2 linked regions of the Oryzias latipes genome follow. The protein of the gene in region 2 interacts with the protein of the main gene of each other region in a biochemical or structural test. Links are inferred from orthologs where the notes say so. Each region holds a gene or a part of one and is shown on either strand. Other genes may lie near its edges. The genes, in order: rbbp8 and E3 ubiquitin-protein ligase Siah2.

What was found.
Region 1: the proteins of E3 ubiquitin-protein ligase Siah2 (region 2) and rbbp8 form a complex in vitro, tested with the Homo sapiens proteins (2 studies listed by BioGRID). The link is inferred for Oryzias latipes from reciprocal best matches to the Homo sapiens genes SIAH2 and RBBP8.

Annotation. Positions count from the first base shown.
Region 1 is NC_019878.2:11,812,345-11,817,066, reverse strand, and holds the start of rbbp8 (DNA endonuclease RBBP8), read right to left. Parts: upstream 3,008-4,722; 5' UTR 2,880-3,007; intron 2,675-2,879; 5' UTR 2,651-2,674; coding exon 2,551-2,650; intron 1,733-2,550; coding exon 1,690-1,732; intron 1,590-1,689; coding exon 1,494-1,589; intron 1,317-1,493; coding exon 1,225-1,316; intron 995-1,224; coding exon 922-994; intron 50-921; coding exon 1-49. UniProt on the Homo sapiens protein: Endonuclease that cooperates with the MRE11-RAD50-NBN (MRN) complex in DNA-end resection, the first step of double-strand break (DSB) repair through the homologous recombination (HR) pathway.
Region 2 is NC_019872.2:23,479,506-23,483,611, forward strand, and holds the start of E3 ubiquitin-protein ligase Siah2, read right to left. Parts: upstream 2,801-4,106; 5' UTR 2,596-2,800; coding exon 2,077-2,595; intron 1-2,076. UniProt on the Homo sapiens protein: E3 ubiquitin-protein ligase that mediates ubiquitination and subsequent proteasomal degradation of target proteins.

The sequences.
Region 1 (4,722 bases), on a different chromosome or scaffold from region 2:
CAGGACGGGCGAGTCGGGGATGAAGCCGTCGTCTTGCTCTGAGGAGGAACTGACAGGAAACAGCGGCGTGTCAGCGGGAACTGAAGCCGAGGTTCACGTGAAGCACTCAAACGCATCACCAAGCCAAGAGAACGCAACGTTCAGCAAAGTGAAAATACAGGAAGATGTTTAGAAACCAAAAATGAAGAGAAAAAAAATAAGACACGTTTCTGTGATAAATTTTAGAGAAAATATTTTTATTTATTTAAATGTTACCATTAATGAGGAAAACATTTTTAGATATTGAAATAAAATGAAGGCGTGAGCAGCAGACGCTACACGCCTCTGCCCTCGCCATCCTATGATGGCTGAGCGGCTGCTACCCCCCCCCCCCCCCCCTTACTCTCCCTCTGCCACCCCAGTCAGAGCCACATAACAAATTCATGAAAACTAAAAAAAAAAAAGGAGCCTTCGGTTGGTTTTGCCTCCATAGCAACCATTTTAATTTTTTGTCGCCTGGGGGTGACGAACATGTTTGAGTCACGTTTAGAAGAACAGGCAAAAATAATTTTTTGGGATTTCCTTAGCAACAGAGGTTTTTTGTTAACCACCCTCGCATTCCTAATATGTTCAATCAGACATTGTTTTTGTTCAGCCTGAGCTGTCGACTCGTGTATTTTCACAATATTCCAGTAAAAACTATGTGAGCAACAGGGAAACGCCATTTTGGCAAACTTGCTACGCTAACGCCATTCAAAATCTACATCTTCCACACACGTGTGTTTTGGTTTGTTACTTTTTTTTGGACCCATAAGAGACTTTGGCCCCAAATGCCCAAAAGTCATTTTGACTGGGTACTAGGTAAATGCAAATTTAGGTACGTTTTGGGAAGGTTGGAGGCAACATTTTCCCTGAAAGGAAGAAGATTTACAGAAAACTCACCACGATGCTTTCAGCTTTTGTATCTCAGCACGGAGTTTCCTGTTTTCATCCTGCAGGTTGTTTCTTTCAATTCCTGAATAAGAAGTTAAAAGTTTCTCAGCACCATCATTCCAAGACGGCTGTCCTCCACCTCCATCAGCGCTTCATCAAACAAAAAGGGAAAAGCCGCAGCAACCGTTTCCCCTCCAGACATGATTGGCTGCAACTGAAAGCCGATCCACCTCCCACATCCTCTTTTGATTTTATTTTAAAAAGATGGTGCACGTGTTTTTATTTTTGAGAGGAGCTCCTTCTGGGACTCACTCAGTTCATCAAGAAGTCTGAGATTCTGATCCAGGCTGCTCTTCAGCTTTTCCTCCAAGACAACACAACGGTCGCACTCTCCTGCTCTGAGCCTGAAAAACAAAGAACAACAAAACTTTTGTTTTTCTTGCCTCTCTTTAGCAAACTACCCCCCCTTTGGTGACCCCAACACCCAGACCGGAGCACCCTCTGTTGATTGAGCAAAACCGGATGATCAAACGTAGCCGGTTCTGTTGGTCCAGAGTGTGACAAACGCTGGAGGATGTTACCTTTCCTCTAGGAGGTGGATGGTGTCGTGCAGGGTTTTGTTCTCCTCCTTCAGATGCTGGTTACGGTTGTAAAACACCTCAAGTCTCTGAGCATCTCTGCAACAAACAAACGTCACTTTGACTGCCATTCCTTAACTATGAAGGAATGCGTTATGATTATTGGCGTTCCTTAAAACAAAAATCCATCAGGACTTACAGGCAGCGGTCCTTTTTCAGCCGGCTCACCTTTGCTTCCAGCTCTATGGGAAAAAGTTATTCCCATAGAAAAAGTTATTATTATTTATTCTTATTTTGTTTAAGAGTTTCTGCAGTAAATTACCAAATTGCATGTAATGCTTTCAGTTGCCAATTCCTTTTTTTTTTGTTTGCATTTTTATGCCATTGATTGAATGCAAACAAACCAGCATCACATTTTTACTCATTTACTAAGGACTTGTTACCTTTTGATTCAATTCTGGCTCCGTGTGTTTTAGTTTATCCTTCCTTTAGCTCTGAACAAAAGCAAACAATGCTTCTTCTACAGTTTTATAGGTGAAGTGTACATTTCTGCTAAAGTACAGGTAAAAATCACCCATTTATTTGTACACTAATAATTATTTTTATTGAAAACATATTGTAATAACACTGAAAATAAAATTTAGTGTTTGTTTTTTAACTTTGTTTTAAAAATGCAGGAGATTTCAGGCTCACGCAGATGACGTCATGGCCGGTAAAAGCCGGATCTGCACTACACTGCTAATCTAAAAAAAAACTACACTGCTTAATCTTTTTGTAATTATTGTTAATAATTAAAATCTTCCTAAGGATGTAACACGTTTTTTCTGTATTCAGAATTGTAATGTACATTATATGTACATAATTGTTGCATTTTTTTTTGTTCTGGATGTTGCAATTGGTCAATAAAATAAATAAAAATTAAAAAAACTACACTGCTTAATCTGTTCTTGTGTTTTTATACAGCTAGAATTGTCTTTTCTAAAGAAAATCCATACTTGTTTCCTGATCCATTCCTTGTTTATCAGTGTCACTCCTTGCCCGATAACCAGCAGTCGTTTACCTCCAGTCACGTGATGATGACACTCTCCCAGCTGCCGCCACAGATCCTCAAAGGGATCAGCTGCTTTGATCGTCCCACTGCTGTCACCTGATCCACTCATCTTTCACACCTCTCCGCAAACAGCCCACATAATTTAAAGAAAAAAATAAGATGGACGTGAATATTTATTTGTTATTAAACGCCATGTCAGCCTCCAGTACATAGAAAAGTGTATTTATAGAACTTCTAGTAGTTCAGTAGAAGTTTTACAAGTATTAGTTTTTCAAACCCACTATTTTGTTCCAAACAACGCGGTGAATTTAAACGCAGCTTTTCACAAACGTACTTACAAAAACTGAGCTGGTTGAACGCCGAAACACGGCAGACTTGTTCCTTCGTGAGCTCTCTCCTCAGACTTTCATCTCGCATTGAAAATCCATTGAAATTTCCGCGCCGAAGAAGTGCATGCTGGGAACTCTTCTTTGTGGCCCTGAAAATGTAGCAGACTGGACGCTCGAGCGCCTCCTGCTGTTCAAAGAGTGGTGGTTAAAAGAATCGCTGATGATGAACATCAAATTTAGTGGAAACTATTTTTACCACTTCGGTTTGATGTATGAGGACTTAATCTATTTTTTTAACTATTCAAATAAATATGTTGCCAAATTTCACAAATATGTTTTACCCACAGCAATAAAAATATATAATTTAGTTTTAAGGAGAAAACATTTATTCCATTTCAATTCTTTATTGGCCTTTACAGAGTTAATAATGGCTAGCCACAGGGGTTGCAAGCCAGTTGCCTCTGTGCCGGTCCCAAGCCCGGATAAATAGAGAGGGTTGCGTCAGGAAGGGCATCCGGCGTAAAAATTGCCAAAATAACCATGCGAATCATCCACAACACTTTAGACATACCGGATCGGTCGAGGCCCGGGTTAACAACGACCGCCACCGATGCTGTTAACCTACAGGGTGTCGGTGGAAATTTGACTACTGTTGGTCGAAGAAAGAGGGGAGGCAGAAGGGCCCGTGGCCAGAGAGAGAAGGGAAAAGGCAGGAACATAGGTTTGAGAATAGGGACTCTTAACGTTGGCACAATGACAGGGAAAGGCAGAGAGCTGGCAGACATGATGGAGAGAAGGAAGGTAGATGTACTGTGTGTGCAGGAGACAAGGTGGAAGGGCAGCAAGGCACGTAGTATTGGAGGAGGATACAAACTGTTCTATCATGGTGTTGATAGGAAGAGAAACGGGGTAGGAGTGATTCTGAAGGGGGAGTTTGTAAACAGTGTTCTAGAGGTGAAAAGAGTCTCAGACAGGATGATGAGCTTAAAGTTAGAAATCGAAGGGGTGATGGTGAATGTAGTCAGTGGGTATGCGCCACAGGTTGGCTGTGAGTTAGAAGTGAAGGAGAGATTCTGGAGTGAGTTGGATGAGGTCATAGAGAGTATCCCCAGAGGAGAGAGAGTTGTTATTGGAGCAGACTTTAATGGGCATGTTGGTGAGGGCAACAGAGGTGATGAGGAGGTGATGGGCAGGTTTGGTGTGAAGGAAAGGAATCTGGAGGGACAGATGGTGGTGGACTTTGCGAAGAGGATGGAAATGGCTGTAGTCAACACTTACTTCCAGAAGAGAGAGGAACATAGAGTGACATACAGAAGTGGAGGTAGGAGTACTCAGGTGGACTACATCCTATGTAGACGAGGTCATTTGAGAGAGGTTATTGACTGCAAAGTGGTGGTAGGAGAGAGTGTAGCCAGACAGCACCGCATGGTGGTGTGTAAGATGACCCTGGAGGTCAGGAAGAAGAAGAGAGGGAAAACAGAAAAGAAGACCAAGTGGTGGAAGCTACAGAATGAAGAAACTTGTGAGGAATTTAGGCAGAAGTTGAGACAGGGTCTGGGTGGTCAGGATGAGCTTCCAGATGACTGGGAAACTACAGCAGAGATTATCAGGGAAACAGGTAGGAAGGTGCTAGGTGTGTCATCTGGAAAGAGGAAAGACGGTAAAGAGACTTGGTGGTGGAATGAGGAAGTACAGGAATGCGTCCAGAGGAAGAGGTTGGCTAAAAAGAAGTGGGATGTAGAAAGGACTGAGGAAGGTAGACAGGAGTACAAGGAAGCGCAGCGTAGAGTGAAGAGAGAGGTGGCAAAGGCCAAACAGAAAGCTTACGATGAGCTATATGACAGGTTAGACA
Region 2 (4,106 bases):
TTTTGTAACACTTGCAGCACAAAACGCTTGAAGTTGCAACAGATTTTTCCACAAGTTGGGATAGTTTAATTGTTTCAACTAAAGGCTGTATGGGGATGTTCAAGCAGTGTTGTATCCTCCAGTTTATTAAGATACGATTTAGTAAAATGTAAAAAAAAAAATAATAAAACCACGACGTTCCTTTTAAACAGGGTTAATTCATTAAATATTTTGTTCATTTCCTTTGTGCAAGAGCAACTGTAAATGATGTAACCACAGCATGAATACATTCATAAAAAAACACTATAGCACTATATTCAGGGTTATAAGTTAAATTGGAACTTTAAAAAAGCACAATTGTTTTGTCTAAATAAATTAAAAAAAAAGGTTTTATTTATTTAAAAGATAAAAAAACAAACATTTTTTGCCGTTTAGATTTTTTTTTGAAAAGTGACTGAAGTCTGAATATGAAATTGTCTTTCAAACAGACATTATTAGAAAGCAGCTGTTTCTGATCTAAAGATGACTTTAGACTAAAAAGACTGGAACCTCTGGCCGTTAATGACTCCTTGGGCTCCAACACAAACCTTTACCTCTGATTTTAGCAAGAAGATTCTCCAACCGTTAGAACGGAACAGATTTCTGCGTTTGCTTCATGCCAGTTAACAGCAGCACCGGAGGAGATGCTGTCACATTAACCCAATGAATCATGGGAGATGTAGTGCTGCGGTATCGATGCCGGACAGACCAGCGTCTCCAAGCTTTGTTATTTTATTCACTTTTAAAATGATCTAACACCGGATCCCATGGGAAGCTACAGCGCTAAACTCGATCTTGAGGGGATGTTTTTGTTGGAACTGAGAGACTTTGAGCCACGGAACGAGGAAGTGAAGACGATAACCACTTCTGATTGGTTAGATTGAAGAATGATGGGCGTAGACCGTTTAAGGGGTGGAACTTTTTCCAAAATGAAAGCAACTGACCAAATACATCATAAACAAACACAAAGAGAACACTCTGTTGTCTGAACCTGAAGGCTTCAAGAACCTGAGGTGTGAAGCACAAACTCCCATCCAGAGGCAACTTCAAGATAGTTTGGTTTAAGAAGCTTCACAGCAGAACAGCTAGAACAAGGCTCAAAGCAGAACCTTACGGACCAGGGCCTACAGTAAAGCTCTACAACTACAAGACATGTGCACACGTTCACCATGATCCAGATCAAAACATCTTATCCAAATTCCTGAATTAAGTCGGACCAGAGAACTAAACCTGTGAGAGCGAGGCCTCCGTCATCTAAAACATCTGCCCTTGACTTCCTGATCGTGCTTCTGCCTCAGGTGTGAGCCTTGATGCAGCAGAGAGGGTGTCTTCACCTTGAAGCATCAGGTGTCCTCCCTCAGCCCCTCCTCCTGATCAGGTGAGGTCAAGACTCACCTTTCAGCTCTGATCCCCTCATTTAACTTTAACGAGTCCGTGACAGAACCTGAGCCGCTGTTTTAGGTACAACGTCTGGGGGGAACACGGCGTTCCACGCCCCTGTTCCCACCTAGACCCCCCTACCTTTTGTGCCTAAATGCCAGTCCGGGGAAGGTTGCAGTTCCTCAAATGACCACAGCAGGCTGGTTTCCCATCAACTCCCATCTTACAAAAATCCAACATGACAGCAGAAATGACCTTCTGACATCCTACACAGAAATGTCGGTATGGGGTGAGGGTGCCTTTTATTAAACTACAGATAGTTTTAGGTCACTTGTGGATTTATCTATCCCTTGACTTTGTGCCAAATGGAGATGCTCAAAAAATTGAAGTGGGGGGAGGAATTCTCACTTTAATTCCGTTCGTAATCTTTTAAGTGACGTCAGAGAATATAGGTCCATTGTTTGTGGTTCCTAAAACCTGAAACTGACATGTCCTACTGTTATCTCAGACAGTGAACGCAACATTCAGTTTGATGGTTCGTTTGTTTACGTTTTATACCTCTGTGTCATTCTGTTTGCCCTCTGAGTTTCAGAAAAGTTCGACTGGACCACAAAGAGAAGCTGGTTGATACTGCAGAACCGCTGCGGACCCGAACTGTGGGCTGGGCGGCCGGCTCACCTTGCAGGGGAACGGCAGGGTGGACGCCACCTTCTCCATGGCCAGGTTACGGATGCTCGGGCTGAGCGGGCCGCGGCAGGTCGGACAGCAGCTCAGCTTCTGCCGGCACGGGTTGCAGACCAGGTGACCCGACTGGCACTGCAGGATGGGCGGCAGCACGTAGTCGAAGCAGACGGGACACTCGAACAGCGCCGTGAGTTCCGTCGGCTGCCCGGGGAGGCCGGCTGCGGGCAGAGACAAGACGGAGGAAGATGCTGCCGAGCCCGACCCGGCCACAGAGCCCACACCGGCGCCGGCGGCCACGGCCGCGGCGGCAGCAGCTGCGGCGGCTGAAGCGGCTCCGTGCTTCCCCCCGCCTGCTTTCGCGGCCCCGAGTCCTCCGGCTCCGGCTGAGGACGGACCGCTCATGGCTCCCAGCTGCGGTCCTAGTCCGACGAGCGGCCGAAGCGGAGGTTCTGTCATCTGCCGCTCACAACCTGACCCAGCAGAGCCAACATGGCGGCTGTCGGTTTGTACCATGACCGCGCGCTGTCATTGGCTGCTTCCTGACTGAATGGCAGGAGCGTCAGCCAATCAAGCTCTGGAGGCGTGTCCTCACACGAATGTTTTTCCTGGAGACCAAAAATATTAAATAAAACCGCTGAAGGAGAAAAGATCCAAGGAGAACAGGACGATCATAAAAATACTGCTTTTAAAAAAGCATAAAAAATATTAACTGATGTTTGTGTGCACGTGATTATTAGTTTGTGTGTGTGCATGTATATAGTGTGGCGACCTGGGGGTTAGCCCTGCCTTCAGCTCCGAAGGCTCATGGGAAGTGGGGAATCTTGGGTGTAAAGTTCCTCACCATGAGTGAGGGCGTTGTGAGCAGAAGTGACCTCCATGCTGTTTGACTGTTTAAGTGGTTTTCAAATAAATAGGCCCTGAATCTAGAAAAGAGATTATGCTTCTCTGCCTGCTTGGGTTGTTACAATTTGTCTGGGTGTGTGATTGTATTATTGACTGGACATGGACCAATGAGTTATATTGCGAGAGGAGACACGCCCACTTCGGAAGCCTAGCCAATGGTGGCGGAGTGCTACGCCACCTTGGTGAGGTCGTCGGTGCCCACATGACAACGCTTTCTAGTTGCAGGACTTCTTACAAATAAAACAATTATTACAAAGAATTTAAAAAAATAATTTTTAAACATTTATAAGTTTTAGACCTCTTTGACATGTAATTTAAATTATTTAGAAAAGCACAACATTAAGTGAATAATAAGTCAGTAATTATAATAATGATATTAATATTAATAAGACATTTTCTATGAGTGACATCACATGCAATCCATCCTGTCATATTAAACCGTCAATGATATGTACTGAGTGACCCATCCCCCTTCGTGTTCCAAACAGGAAGTACCCGCTGGTTCAAAAACAAGACAAAATACCACAGATTCTTTAGAAAAATAAATACTCTGTCATTCTATTTGTCAGATTAATCATTCTATGGCTGCCACCTTTTTAATATGTTTTTGTTTCTTTATTGCAAGGTATTCAAGTTATAAACTGACCAGTCAGAGTCCTCAGTAAAAGCATGTGGTCTCATGTCACATGTTCAATATATCTGATTGACAGATTATCCCAAGCCCGCTTTCTAGTGGAAGGGATGCAGACTTTCAACAAGCTCGCTCCTTATTGGAAAGAGTGGTTGTCATAGATACAAGACTCAAACCGATTCGGACCAATCATTGCTTACTGGTCATTTCTGGTTCCAGCATGGTGGCGTCTGTATCGCGAAAAACTGGTGGCTGAATTGACTCCAGAATTGACTCCAGAAGTAAGCCGTTTTCTATGGGTGACGTCACACTCACTCAGTCCAGTTCTTATAAGGCATCTCCAACCCTGATTAGCTGGATTGAGTGGGCCCAGATTCTGACTGACTGAACACACCCTATCTGGGTGACCAATAATTACAGAAGCAGGGTTAGCTGCAAAACAAGCAGGGCAGTAGCTCACGAGGAACAGGGTTGGAGATCACTGCATGGT